Linked DNA regions of Xenopus tropicalis. The protein of the gene in region 1 purifies or fractionates together with the protein of each later gene. This does not show direct contact. Links are inferred from orthologs where the notes say so. Each region holds a gene or a part of one and is shown on either strand. Other genes may lie near its edges.

Region 1 (6,551 bases):
ACCTGTTTAAACATAAACATTTGCTATTGGTTATTGCTACTGGGCAAAGTTAGTGCCTTTTATTAAATAAAGCTGTATATCATTTTTTCTCATCATTTTTGTGTGACTGAAACAGAAAAAAAATTATAAAGTTTGATTTTATAACAGTCATACTAAAAGAATTTAGTTTGTATATGGCCAGTGGAATAAAGTAAGATGTTAAACTGCTTAGTATATTTCATGCACTTCTCAGATTATTCATTAAATAGATAGATCATAGGGCATTTGGCATTAAACCTATGAAGCACGAGGGTTTTATATTACAGAGTTAAATATAGTTTTAGCCTGTGATCTGTGGCACTGTATTATAAGGTGTAGCCTAAGTCTGGCTCTTTATCAAGTTAAAACCTGTAAGAAAATAAATGTAAGTCAAATTAAAAACATCGCCTCTTGCAGTGGCACCAACTGAAAGCACTGTAGATTTTGTTATTACAGTGTAGGGAAGGATTCAGTGTGCCTGAGGATGCATAACACAAGATGCATCAGAAATGCTGCACTACAGAATAAAAGTCATAAAGACAAAGGATATGGAAAGATGCCTCTATACAGGGCCGGAATGGGGGGTGCAGGGCATGGTGCCCCCACTGGCCACGTCCCCGTACCCCCTAGGGGCTGCCGCTGTACCCCCTAAGCCCCACAGGGTGTCCCCCCCCCCGAGCCTCCCTAACCCCCCGCCCCCCCCTGCAAGGGCCCCTGTCGGATGTCCTTCCCTGAGCACGCATAAGGGTTTTTTTCCGGTTTCCCAGTCCGACTCTGCCTCTATACTATGCCCCAATAACCATTGTGTGACTATATAAAAAAAAAAAAAAAAAACACAAGTATAATTCACCTTACAGAAACCTAACTGCGTAGCACCAGTCCTGCATTTGAGAAATCCTATTTCCAACAACAGGACCTGGAAACTGGTTACCTTGTCAATATTTTATTTGTATTTATATTTTGAGGCTGAATGTAACTTAATCAATACAACTTCTTGCTACAAAAAACAAGGAAGCAGCCCACAAATCTTTAATTATACCCCCTTAGGGTGAAGACACATGGAGCTACTAAAAGCAGCTACTTGTCGTGGCTACTGAAATAGACAATGCTGATCATTTACTGATAATTGTCTCTAAGCGTGTTTTAGCAGAGACAATTCTTAGCATTGTCTATGGCAGGATATTTTCTGGCATTAGTAGCCACAAAAAGTAGCTGCTACTAGTAGCTCCGTGTGTCTTCAACCTTGAGACAGCAGAGATTCAACTCATAGTTGGGATTTCTGAGATTCGCATTGAGAATTAGGCATGTAGGGACATAAGGCTGAAAAGTCTGCATCACTAACAACACTTATTACAAATATTTTTTGTGGATTTCCTCTGAGTGCATTACTTTCTTTTTAATTAAATAAAGGATAAGGGTGAACTTAAAAAAGCATGCTGTGGTCACCTTGATGCAAAGTTTTTTATTTAATGGAAGAATCACAAAAAACGAACACAGGTGCACAACAGAGGCTGGTATTCTTTATAAAAGTAGGAAAATAAAACAAAACAAAACTACTACTGTATTGAAATTCTAAAGCATGCAGCTTTCTGGTTAAAGCTACACAAGTGAGTGAGTACACAGAATACTTACTGTATACACAAAAAAACCCTCAATATATGCTAATTTCACCAGTCCTTTTGTTTATCACAAACGATTACTACAGTTATTAAATTTAATTTGCATAACACACAAGGAAATAAAGTACAGAAGTTATTTCTGTTCAATGAGCATTAAAACTTCTCAGCATTGCTGTTTGCAGAGGTTATTTACTTTTCAAACCATTGAAGTTCATCTAACTCTTGTTCTTTTGACAAGGTCAGGTCTGGGTTAGTGCCAGATGTGCCAATGGGATGTCTGTGCATCTTACTGAGAACACAAAGATATTCTAGCCAAAAATTCTGGGTTAATTATTTAATTCAACTTCCAGCACTAACTCGGGTGTCTAAAGGATAATAGTTAATGTACTGCATTTAATAAAATACTTATTTAGCGTCTGTGTGTTTTACTATATAATATACTCCAAAAGGGACCGAAACATCGGTTGTACATGCAAGTATAATACACTAATATTTGTTTGAACCACAAGACCCTTGGTGCTGGTTGTGTTTGATTTGAGATAGATAGATAGATAGGAGATATATATATATATATATATATATATATACACATACACACACATACATACACTAAATATATAGGTGCCTTGACCACACCATGAGGTTTGTAAAGGATTCTAAAAGCTGGCAATAGGAGAACTCAGCTCTTTTAGCGAACCCACCAAACAACATGATCTTTGTCGATTTGGCGAGCCACATTGGCTGCCATATCAGGCTAACCCAATCCTTTTGTCCCTGGCCTTGAACCTTCTATAGAATGCCAGTCTACATACAGGCTACCAAATAGCCAATTATAGCTCTTATTTGGCACCCCCAGGAACTTTTTCCATGCTTGTGTTGCTCCCCAAAACTTTTTCCATCTGAATGTGGCTCACGGGTATAAAAGGTTGGGGATCCTTGATATAATGTCTAACCTCACTAATGCTCTTGTAGCTGAATGAAAGCAAATCCCACCAACAATGTTCCAACATCTAGTGTAATGTCTTCCAGAAGAGTAGAGGATGTTATAAGAACAGAGGGAGAATCTATTTGATTTAGGAAAGAGATATTGGACAGGCAGATGTTGAGATCACTTTGTTCATATAGTGTACCTACTCAGAAGTAAATAACTGTGCATGCTTCATGTCGGAACTCCAGACAAAACTTGCAGAATGTATGAGCAGTAATACAAGCTATTTCTATCCCCCATTAAATATTGCCCAGATTTGATACTGATGTGGATATGGCAGTTGGGTTCAATTCTAACTATCTAACTACTATCAGCATTAAGTTTCTCCTTACTTCTGCTTCCATTAGATTCCTCCCACAGTCGAAAAACACAGGCAGGTTAACCATGGCACAAACCAAAAACATACCGGTAAGGTTAACCATTGCACATATGGTAAAGTCCAATATACAAAGTTATTATTAATATATAGGTGCTATATAAATAGTAAAACGGTGCTTATTAAACAGATGTATAACTTGCAGATAGGTTCCTAACAAACAAGCCTGTACTGCACTTGTTTTCATGTCCCCACCCTTATGCATGATGCTGATGGAAACGCCTAAGTTATATAAAAGAAATAATAACTAACTACATGGGATGTACTAACCATTAACAAATGTACTACAAGCGCTTTTGGGCAGGGCTCTATCTCTTGAATTGGTTATTATTCGTATTGTATGTTGTAACATATACACCCATTTACTGTACAACACTAAGGAATATGTTGGTTTTATATATACTTTAACAATAATTAACAGTTCTAGAAGGCCACTTAACAGGTAAAACAGAATTGGTACTTTGAATAAAATATGGTTGTTTATAATACAAATAAACAACTAACATAAAAGCTATTTATGTTTAGACAGAATATAAACTACATATATAAACTGCTACTGACATATAAATACTAACATGTTAAAGCTATGGTTGTTTACAAATAACACACGGCTATAGGGGCAAAACACATACGGTGTATGCATGAATACCAGCGGTAAACATAACTTTTAATGCACAAAGTCATGTTTGACGTACAGCAACTACACTCTGCAAGCCTGCCCGCATAACGTGAACATACGAAGCTTCTCGTACTTACTCGGGTAAATAACTGGAAGAAAACGAGCTCCACTTAAATACAGCATAAGGTAATCCTCTAATCTCGGCCGCCATCTTGTCAGCGGGAAGACGGGGGCGGGGCGCGTCTCTTAAAGACACAGGTGCTCAAAGGCAATTGCAAGGGAAAGAAGAAAGCTGACGTCTGCCCGCCTCACAGTCTGTTCGCTTAGCTGAGACAATAGTGACGGCTGGGTCATTTTACCACGCCACGTACGTAGCAAGTGACAACTGTGCGTCTACGTCGGTGAATACACATGGCCGAAAGCCACTCCCCCACGTTGCTTTTGTTAGTGAAGTCAGGCATGCTCTGCTTGAATAGTAGCAGGGGCTGTACGTAAAAGCACATTCACTGGTGCCAAAGCAACGCCATGCATATTACAGCAATTTATGTGGAAATTTATTGCAAACGGAAGTAACAGTGTAAAACACAGACATTTGCTGCTTGCATTAAGCCGTTTATAACACCAGAGTCTCATATTTTCCATACTGTCCTCTTCTTTAGGGAGTAATCTAAGCTGCTAATTATGCGTTTTGCGCAAAACTGATCCACTAGTTTCTTGTTTTGTTTACTCCTTTGGTGCTGAGCTGTGTAAACTATGAAACCTTTTCTCCAATTTGCAGTGGAAATTGCCCACAAAACTGAGGAAAGCTTTGCAAAAATAGCAATTTCTTCTCGTGATGCATTTGTTTTGGGCATATAGCGCCATAGTCTCCATACGTTACTGAACTGAAACACAACTAGAAGCAAATAGGGTTGCCAGCTGTCCGGCCCAGTATAAGTGTTGTGTACCTGCACAAACATCAGCCCAATAGTGACATAGCCCCTCCCTGTCATGGCTCTATCCCCAAACAACCCTGGTCTGCCCTAGATGTCACAATTTTGCTTCCAATATTTTTGATTTTTCCCATAGCAAATGTGGCAACCATTTTTGCCACAAACGTGCTTAATATTGCTAAGTATAGCAAAAATATGCCGCATTGTATTCTGATGCATATATGAGCAAATTTTCACACTTTCTATACTTCCCCCTGTTGGCATTAAAGCATACCTCCCAACATTTTGAAAATGGAAAGAGAGACAAAAAGAAATGCCCCAAGCAGTGCAGCAAATTTTTTTGACCACACCCATTTTTGCAACCACACCCCCTAAATACCACTCCCATTTGACTAAATTTGGCAGGTTATTAAAAGTTTGAACACATTTCTTGGGGTTTTGGCTTCTTGTTTTATGTGTTATTAGAGGTTTGTTAAAAAAAGCTGAAATTGCCCTTTGTCCTTTAGGCTGATGCCACACGAGGTGTAGGGCTGATATTTTCGGCAAGCGGAAAAACACTTTGCGAAAATACAGCCCTACGCCTGCTACTTGTGCCTGCACCCGAATGAATGAGATACGCTCGGGTGCAGGCACATGTAGCTGATATACGCATGAAAACGCGTGAGAATGCAAAGTCTCGCGTTTTCATGCGTATATCGGCTACATGTGCCTGCACCCGAGCGTATTCCATTCATTTGGGTGCAGGCACAAGTAGCAGGCGTAGGGCTGAATTTTCGCCAAGGGTTTTTCCGCTTGCCGAAAATATCAGCCCTACGCCTCGTGTGGCATCAGCCTTAGTTCCCCCATGAGACCTGTTTAGCTTATTAGTTACAACTGTATCTCAGTGCAGGTGTGGCTTGTTAACTTTCTGGGCTCTCTGCCAAAAGCCCACTTATTTGGGTGGGGTTTGGATGGGTTAATTTCCTGCTGTGAAACTTAGAAATTACTTTCAGTAGAAAACTAAGGATAGGTCTGAGAACCACTTTCTTTTCCATGAAAAACAGTATAAGGAGGGTCAACAGAAAGCGCTTGCAACTCACTGATCTGGCGGGCCAATGTGAGAGCTACTAGAAAAAATGTTGGTGTCTCCATCTGCCCTGAAGAAGAAGGTCCCTGACATTCGGAAGTGGCAGAGGGTCTGCCACTAGCAAATGCCTCAGGAGTGGATACCAAGGTCTCCTCGGCCAATCTGGGAGAATATCGATGACCTCCATCCTGGTTAATAGGATCTTCTGCAGAACTCTCAGGATAATCAAGATTGGAGGGAAGATATGCGCGAATAGGCCCTCCCAATCCTGAGAGAAGGCATCCACCGCTGCTGCACCTTGACAAGGGGCTCTGGAGAAAAAGATCAGAAGTTTGCAGTTCAGATCTGTTGCCATCAGGTCCACCTGTGGGCAGCCCCAAACAGACACTAGCCAGCTGAATATCTTCTGGTCCAACTCCCACTCCCCATAGGGTAGGAGATGTCTGCTCAAATAGTCCGCTTCTACATTCTGAGCTCCCAGGACATGGTGAGCAGTCAGGTCTAAAAGGTGATTCTGTGCCCTTTCCATGATTGGGGCTGTCTCCCTGAATAAGGTCTTGCTCCTTGTTCCCCCTTGGCCTCTGATATACGCTACAGCCGCAGCATTGTCCATTCTGACTCTCACAGCAGTACCCAGAAGGGCCTCTCTGAAGGACAGGAGTGCTTGAAAAACCGCTCTGAGCTCCAGAACATTGGAAGGAGTCTCGGACAGATCTTCCGACCAACTTCCCTGAGCATAAAGATCTAGGAGACGAGCTCCCCAAGATTTCTGGATACTTTCCACCATTCTAGATGCTTCCTGCAATCCCTGGTAATTTGGATATTCTGTGACCAATTCTGAGTCACTAAGTTCCACTGCCTCAGGAAGGATAGCTGGATAGGCCTCATCCTCCATTTGGCCCATTTGACTAGGCCTATAGTCGATGTTAGGAG
Region 2 (5,965 bases), on another chromosome or scaffold:
TAATAAACCCTTCCCTATCCCAGTGCCCATCATCCCCCCCTAATAAATCCTTCCCTACCCCAGTGCCCATCATCCTCCCCTAATAAACCCTTCCCTACCCCAGTGCCCATCATCTTCCCCTAATAAATCCTTCCCTACCCCAGTGCCCATCATCCTCCCCTAATAAACCCTTCCCTACCCCAGTGCCCATCATCTTCCCCTAATAAATCCTTCCCTATCCCAGTGCCCATCATCCCCCCCTAATAAATCCTTCCCTATCCCAGTGCCCATCATCTTCCCCTAATAAATCCTTCCCTACCCCAGTGCCCATCATCTTCCCCTAATAAATCCTTCCCTATCCCAGTGCCCATCATCTTCCCCTAATAAATCCTTCCCTATCCCAGTGCCCATCATCTTCCCCTAATAAACCCTTCCCTATCCCAGTGCCCATCATCTTCCCCTAATAAATCCTTCCCTATCCCAGTGCCCATCATCTTCCCCTAATAAATCCTTCCCTATCCCAGTGCCCATCATTCCCCCCTAATAAATCCTTCCCTACCCCAGTGCCCATCATCCTCCCCTAATAAATCCTTCCCTATCCCAGTGCCCATCATTCCCCCCTAATAAATCCTTCCCTATCCCAGTGCCCATCATCTTCCCCTAATAAATCCTTCCCTATCCCAGTGCCCATCATCTTCCCCTAATAAATCCTTCCCTATCCCAGTGCCCATCATCTTCCCCTAATAAATCCTTCCCTACCCCAGTGCCCATCATCCTCCCCTAATAAATCCTTCCCTATCCCAGTGCCCATCATCCTCCCCTAATAAATCCTTTCCTATCCCAGTGCCCATCATCCTCCCCTAATAAATCCTTCCCTACCCCAGTGCCCATCATCTTCCCCTAATAAATCCTTCCCTATCCCAGTGCCCATCATCCTCCCCTAATAAATCCTTCCCTATCCCAGTGCCCATCATCTTCCCCTAATAAATCCTTCCCTACCCCAGTGCCCATCATCTTCCCCTAATAAATCCTTCCCTATCCCAGTGCCCATCATCCTCCCCTAATAAATCCTTCCCTATCCCAGTGCCCATCATCCTCCCCTAATAAATCCTTCCCTATCCCAGTGCCCATCATCTTCCCCTAATAAATCCTTCCCTATCCCAGTGCCCATCATCTTCCCCTAATAAATCCTTCCCTATCCCAGTGCCCATCATCTTCCCCTAATAAATCCTTCCCTACCCCAGTGCCCATCATCTTCCCAAGCCCTGTGTCCTAATAAATTCTTCCCTATCCCAGTGCCCATCATCTTCCCCTAATAAATCCTTCCCTACCCCAGGGCCAATCATCTTCCCAAGCCCTTTGTCCCTAATAAACCCCTCCACACCTAGTGCCCCTGCCCACACCCAGGTGGCATAAATACTTTATACTCCAGCCTGTGTCCCCCAAACCCATTGCCACTAATACACAATCCTTTCCCAGGGCCCATTAACTCCCACACACTGTCTATAATCAAACTTACCCCTCCAAGTGCCCCTGTCCACATTCCAGTGCCACAGATACCTCATTCTATTCCTGTGCTCACTATTCCCTAAAGTCTGTGTCCGTAATAAATCCTCCCCTGTCCCAGTGCCCATCATTTCCCCCAACCCATTGTTCCGTATAAAATCTCTCCCATCCAAGTGACCATAATCCTTTTTCGTGTCACCAGTATTTCATCCAGCCCTGTGCCCTACATCCCCCAAGTCTTCTGTTATTTATAAACCCTTTCACATTCTAGTGCCTGATGCTTCTTCCTACCATAGCCCCTGCCCCCCCCCAGTCCTCTGACCCCACCTGTCTCTCTGCATTTGTGTCCCATATGCCCCGTCCCAATCAAGTGACTATAATTGTACCCTTCATGTACTGTGTCCCTAAAGCCTCCCCTGCTACCGAGGGTCCCTTGTCTTTCACAACCTCCTTACAATTCCGTCTGACACCTCGCTAATATGGCAAGTGGCTTTTTGTCTTATTTCATTTTCTTTTTTCAAAGTGACAATGAGTTACACAGAGAAGCCAGAGGAGATTACAAAAGAAGAATGGATGGAGAAACTGAACAACTTACATATCCAAAGAGCAGACATGAACCGCCTAATCATGAACTACCTTGTTACAGGTTAGAGAGGCAGTGTTAATGCTTTACCTTTAAACCTTCCTCTGTGTCCCCAGCCTTTAGGGCACCTTGGAAGGTCGCATATATATAGCAGCTTTGTTTATATAAACTATAGTAGTCTTTCTGATGCAAACACACAGCTTTAACCAGTGCAGGGCAACAGTAAATAATCTGTGAATAACTGATATACGTTCATCTTTTGGTGTTACTATTCCTTTAAAGGAGCACCCCTTTTCCTTTTGATGTATATAGACTGCTGAGTCTTGCTCTGAGGAGTTACCCTTCTATGTTGGGTCTTTCTCTTACTGAGCAGTTGTTTTGTACTTTGGCAGTTTTATAGCCTTTTATAGTCTTTTACACAAAACTGTTGGGCAATGGGATGGGTTGCAGCCACATATAGGTGACTGGGAACAGTTTTATGTCCAAGAAACATAGAATTAGCAAACTGTGTCCTATAGGGATCCTCGATACACCTTTGTACAAATGACTGTTCATGATTTAATGGGAATCATCAGTTTGCACTGGGGTTAGTATTGTAGGTAACTTATCTGCTCTCAAAATGCCGCTATATGGGACCCCTTACAACAAACCTCTTTAGACTCTTTAGGTTCTTACGAACCATGGCTGCTCATCTCACTCTTTTCCTCCCTCAGAGGGATTCAAAGAGGCGGCAGAGAAGTTCCGGATGGAGTCTGGAATCGAACCCAGCGTCGATCTGGAGAGCCTGGATGAAAGAATAAAGATCCGAGAGATGATTCTGAAGGGCCAGATTCAGGAAGCCATTGCTCTGATCAATTCCCTACACCCTGAGCTTTTGGATACCAACCGTTACTTGTACTTTCACTTGCAGGTTAGACCTTTGTGTTTGGGGCAGAGGACAGGGTAGGGTTCTGGTTGTTGGGGGTCTGACCATTCACCTGAATTTCTGTTATGTAACACTGCTGCAAGGTTCTGTTTGCTGTTAGACTTACATTTGCCCCGTGGGGGTCACTGGGCAGCTGTCTCACAGCATACACAGACACATGGGAAACTAAGGGAAGCATTCAGCACAGTTGGTATTCCTGAAATGTGTAAGTAATGGGTGGCTTTCTCTGCATTTGTGTTTTTCAGCAACAGCACCTTATTGAGCTGATCCGGCAAAGAGAGACAGAGGCAGCTTTAGAGTTTGCCCAGACCCAACTGGCAGAGCAGGGAGAGGAGAGCCGCGAGTGCCTGACTGAGATGGAGCGGACGCTGGCACTGTTGGCATTCGATAACCCAGAGGATTCTCCCTTTGGCGACTTGCTCAACATGATGCAAAGGCAAAAGGTGAGCAGCATAGTATCCCCTGCCACAGAATGATCTGTCAGATCAGTGTAATTGGTAATGTGTGGGTACATTGCACTGGTATCCCTCCCCTCCATACACTCTGGCTGAGACAAATGGGTTCAATTCTACTGGCAGAGACTGAATAGGCAAATATAATTCCCTTTTTAACACCCCTTCCTGCATTTGTTATTTCTTCTTGCCCCTTCCCTCTCACCCAGGACCACAAGGGGGCAGTATCCGCTCCAAGCAAACTGAATGCAGTTCCGCACTTCTATTATCTGAAAACAAACAAGTGACATTGATTTTTGCCTTGAAGGCTGGGAGAGAATGCAAAGTAGGGAGGAAGCAATACCTACATAACAAGTTAACAGTGAAATTCCAAAATCTATAATCATACTATCCCAAACAACATATGGGTGCATCCCAGTGCCACATGATCCCCATGCTCCGCCCTCCTTATGAGTTTTACACCTTTGGGTGCTTCATCAGAGGAGGTGAGGCATTATTTGAGTCATTTTCCTTATATACCCTCCACTTATAGTTTTTATATATATTCAAATACAACAACTTTATTAGGAGGTGTATAATAAGGCAAGAGACTATAATACAATTAGTGTGTTTTTGGTTTTTTGCCTCATTATAGTTATTGTTATGTAGTTTATGTATAGTCAGGGCCTTGCATTAAATGGCTTCCTTCTCTATCATATATTGTTTTATAGGAAGCAATAAACATGTCAGTCCTACTGTTTAACCCCATTTAACCCCCATAATACAATATTTCTAACTATATAACAGCGCCAGTAACCTGAAGTCCCCTTCTCTGGCAGGTATGGAGCGAAGTCAACCAAGCCGTCCTGGATTATGAGAACCGCGAGTCCACCCCTAAACTGGCAAAACTGCTCAAGCTGCTCCTCTGGGCTCAGAACGAACTGGACCAGAAGAAAGTTAAATACCCCAAGATGGCTGACCTCAGCAAAGGGACAGTGGAAGAGCCCAAGTAACGCCCGATTTGACGTCACAGGAACTCACGGAACATTTGCCTGTGCGCCCCACGTATTCTCAGTCTGTGACGTTTGTACTCCACGCACAGCGACAGGGAGAAACCTCTCACTCCTTGTCCTTTTTCTCTCACATCCCTCCCTGGTACAGGAGGAAATAGGCTGTGAGGCAGGTTCACTCAGTATTTCCCATCTCTGCTGTGCCAGGGGGCAATTGCTTTGGCTGCTGGTCTATAAAGGAATTAGCGAGCAGTCTAACTATGCACCAAGACCTCCTTGCAGTCTACTCATATGGTTTGTAGTAACATCTCCCATTATGTGTTGGGTCCTGAGTGCTGAAACTTTTTATATCAGTTTTTGCTTTCTAAAACACTCTATCCGGTGCCGAATGCAAGTGATCCTAGAGGCAATTACCCTTCCTACACCAGTTATTGCCCCATCCTGCAGTGCTCGCACAACTACAAGATTAACGTGCAGTCTGGGGGGGGGGGTTATATTCATGTTTTCTTTCTTCTGCCTGTTCTTGGTAGTGAGCGTGTTAACCAGTCGTGCAAGCTTTCTGCCCCGCGGCAAATGTAATACAGTTTAATAGACGCAGAGTTGGTTGGACTAATATGTGTTTGGGAGGGTGGATTTGGGCAGGTTGTGCCAATCGGTTGTTTATACAGAAGTTTCCCAAAGTAAATGTCATGTTTGATGTATTGGCTGTGAGCCCTGCTTGCTGGGAGGGATTTCTGTCTATCTCTCCTGGAAGGCATTTGATTTTTATTAAATAGAGTAAAAACACCTTTTATTGTAAGGATCATATAAAGCAGGGGTCCTCAAGCTACAGCCCACGGGCCAGATACGGCTCCCCCCAAGGTCATTTACCTGGCCTCCGCTGCATCCTCACCCCTTGCTATTACCTCTTTGCCTCAGAGTGGCCCTCTACCCCAGTGTGTCACATCACTGCGCCCCACAGGCGGACTTGTCCAGCGCCGGTAATGTGAAGTCCCCTTCTCTGGCAGGTGTGGAGTGAAGTCAACCAAGTGTCCAGCGTCATTAGCGTTGGCCGGTGGGATGCGGTGACATTATGCACTGGGGCCGAGGCAGACAGGTAGTACCCGGGGTGAGAACATGCCAAGCTGGGGTAGTAGCCAGGGGTGAGAACATGCCGAGCTGGGGTAGTAGCCAGGGGTGAGAACATGCCGAGCTGGGGTAGTAGCCGGGGGTGAGAACATGCCGAGCTGGGGTAGTAGCCGGGGGTGAGAACATGCCGAGCTGGGGTAGTAGCCGGGGGTGAGAACATGCCGAGCTGGGGTAGTAGCCGGGGGTGAGGACATGCCGAGCTGGGGTAGTAGCCGGGGGTGAGGACATGCCGAGCTGGGGTAGTAGCCGGGGGTGAGAACATGCCGAGCTGGGGTAGTAGCCGGGGGTGAGAACATGCCGAGCTGGGGTAGTAGCCAGGGGTGATGACTCTCTGAGCTGAGATAGTAGCCAGGGGTAAGGAGACGCCGAGCTGGGGTAGTAGCCAGGGGTGAGGACTCTCTGA

What was found. The genes of interacting proteins can lie anywhere in the genome.
Region 2: the proteins of mkln1 (region 1) and gid8 purify together in Homo sapiens (affinity purification with mass spectrometry; 4 studies listed by BioGRID and IntAct, with this or other methods). This does not show direct contact. The link is inferred for Xenopus tropicalis from reciprocal best matches to the Homo sapiens genes MKLN1 and GID8.

The regions. Positions count from the first base shown.
Region 1 is NC_030679.2:84,994,931-85,001,481, reverse strand, and holds the start of mkln1 (muskelin), read right to left. Parts: upstream 3,980-6,551; 5' UTR 3,832-3,979; coding exon 3,758-3,831; intron 1-3,757. UniProt on the Homo sapiens protein: Component of the CTLH E3 ubiquitin-protein ligase complex that selectively accepts ubiquitin from UBE2H and mediates ubiquitination and subsequent proteasomal degradation of the transcription factor HBP1.
Region 2 is NC_030686.2:2,366,139-2,372,103, reverse strand, and holds the end of gid8 (glucose-induced degradation protein 8 homolog), read left to right. Parts: intron 1-2,008; coding exon 2,009-2,131; intron 2,132-2,781; coding exon 2,782-2,978; intron 2,979-3,238; coding exon 3,239-3,436; intron 3,437-4,263; coding exon 4,264-4,437; 3' UTR 4,438-5,221; downstream 5,222-5,965. UniProt on the Homo sapiens protein: Core component of the CTLH E3 ubiquitin-protein ligase complex that selectively accepts ubiquitin from UBE2H and mediates ubiquitination and subsequent proteasomal degradation of the transcription factor HBP1.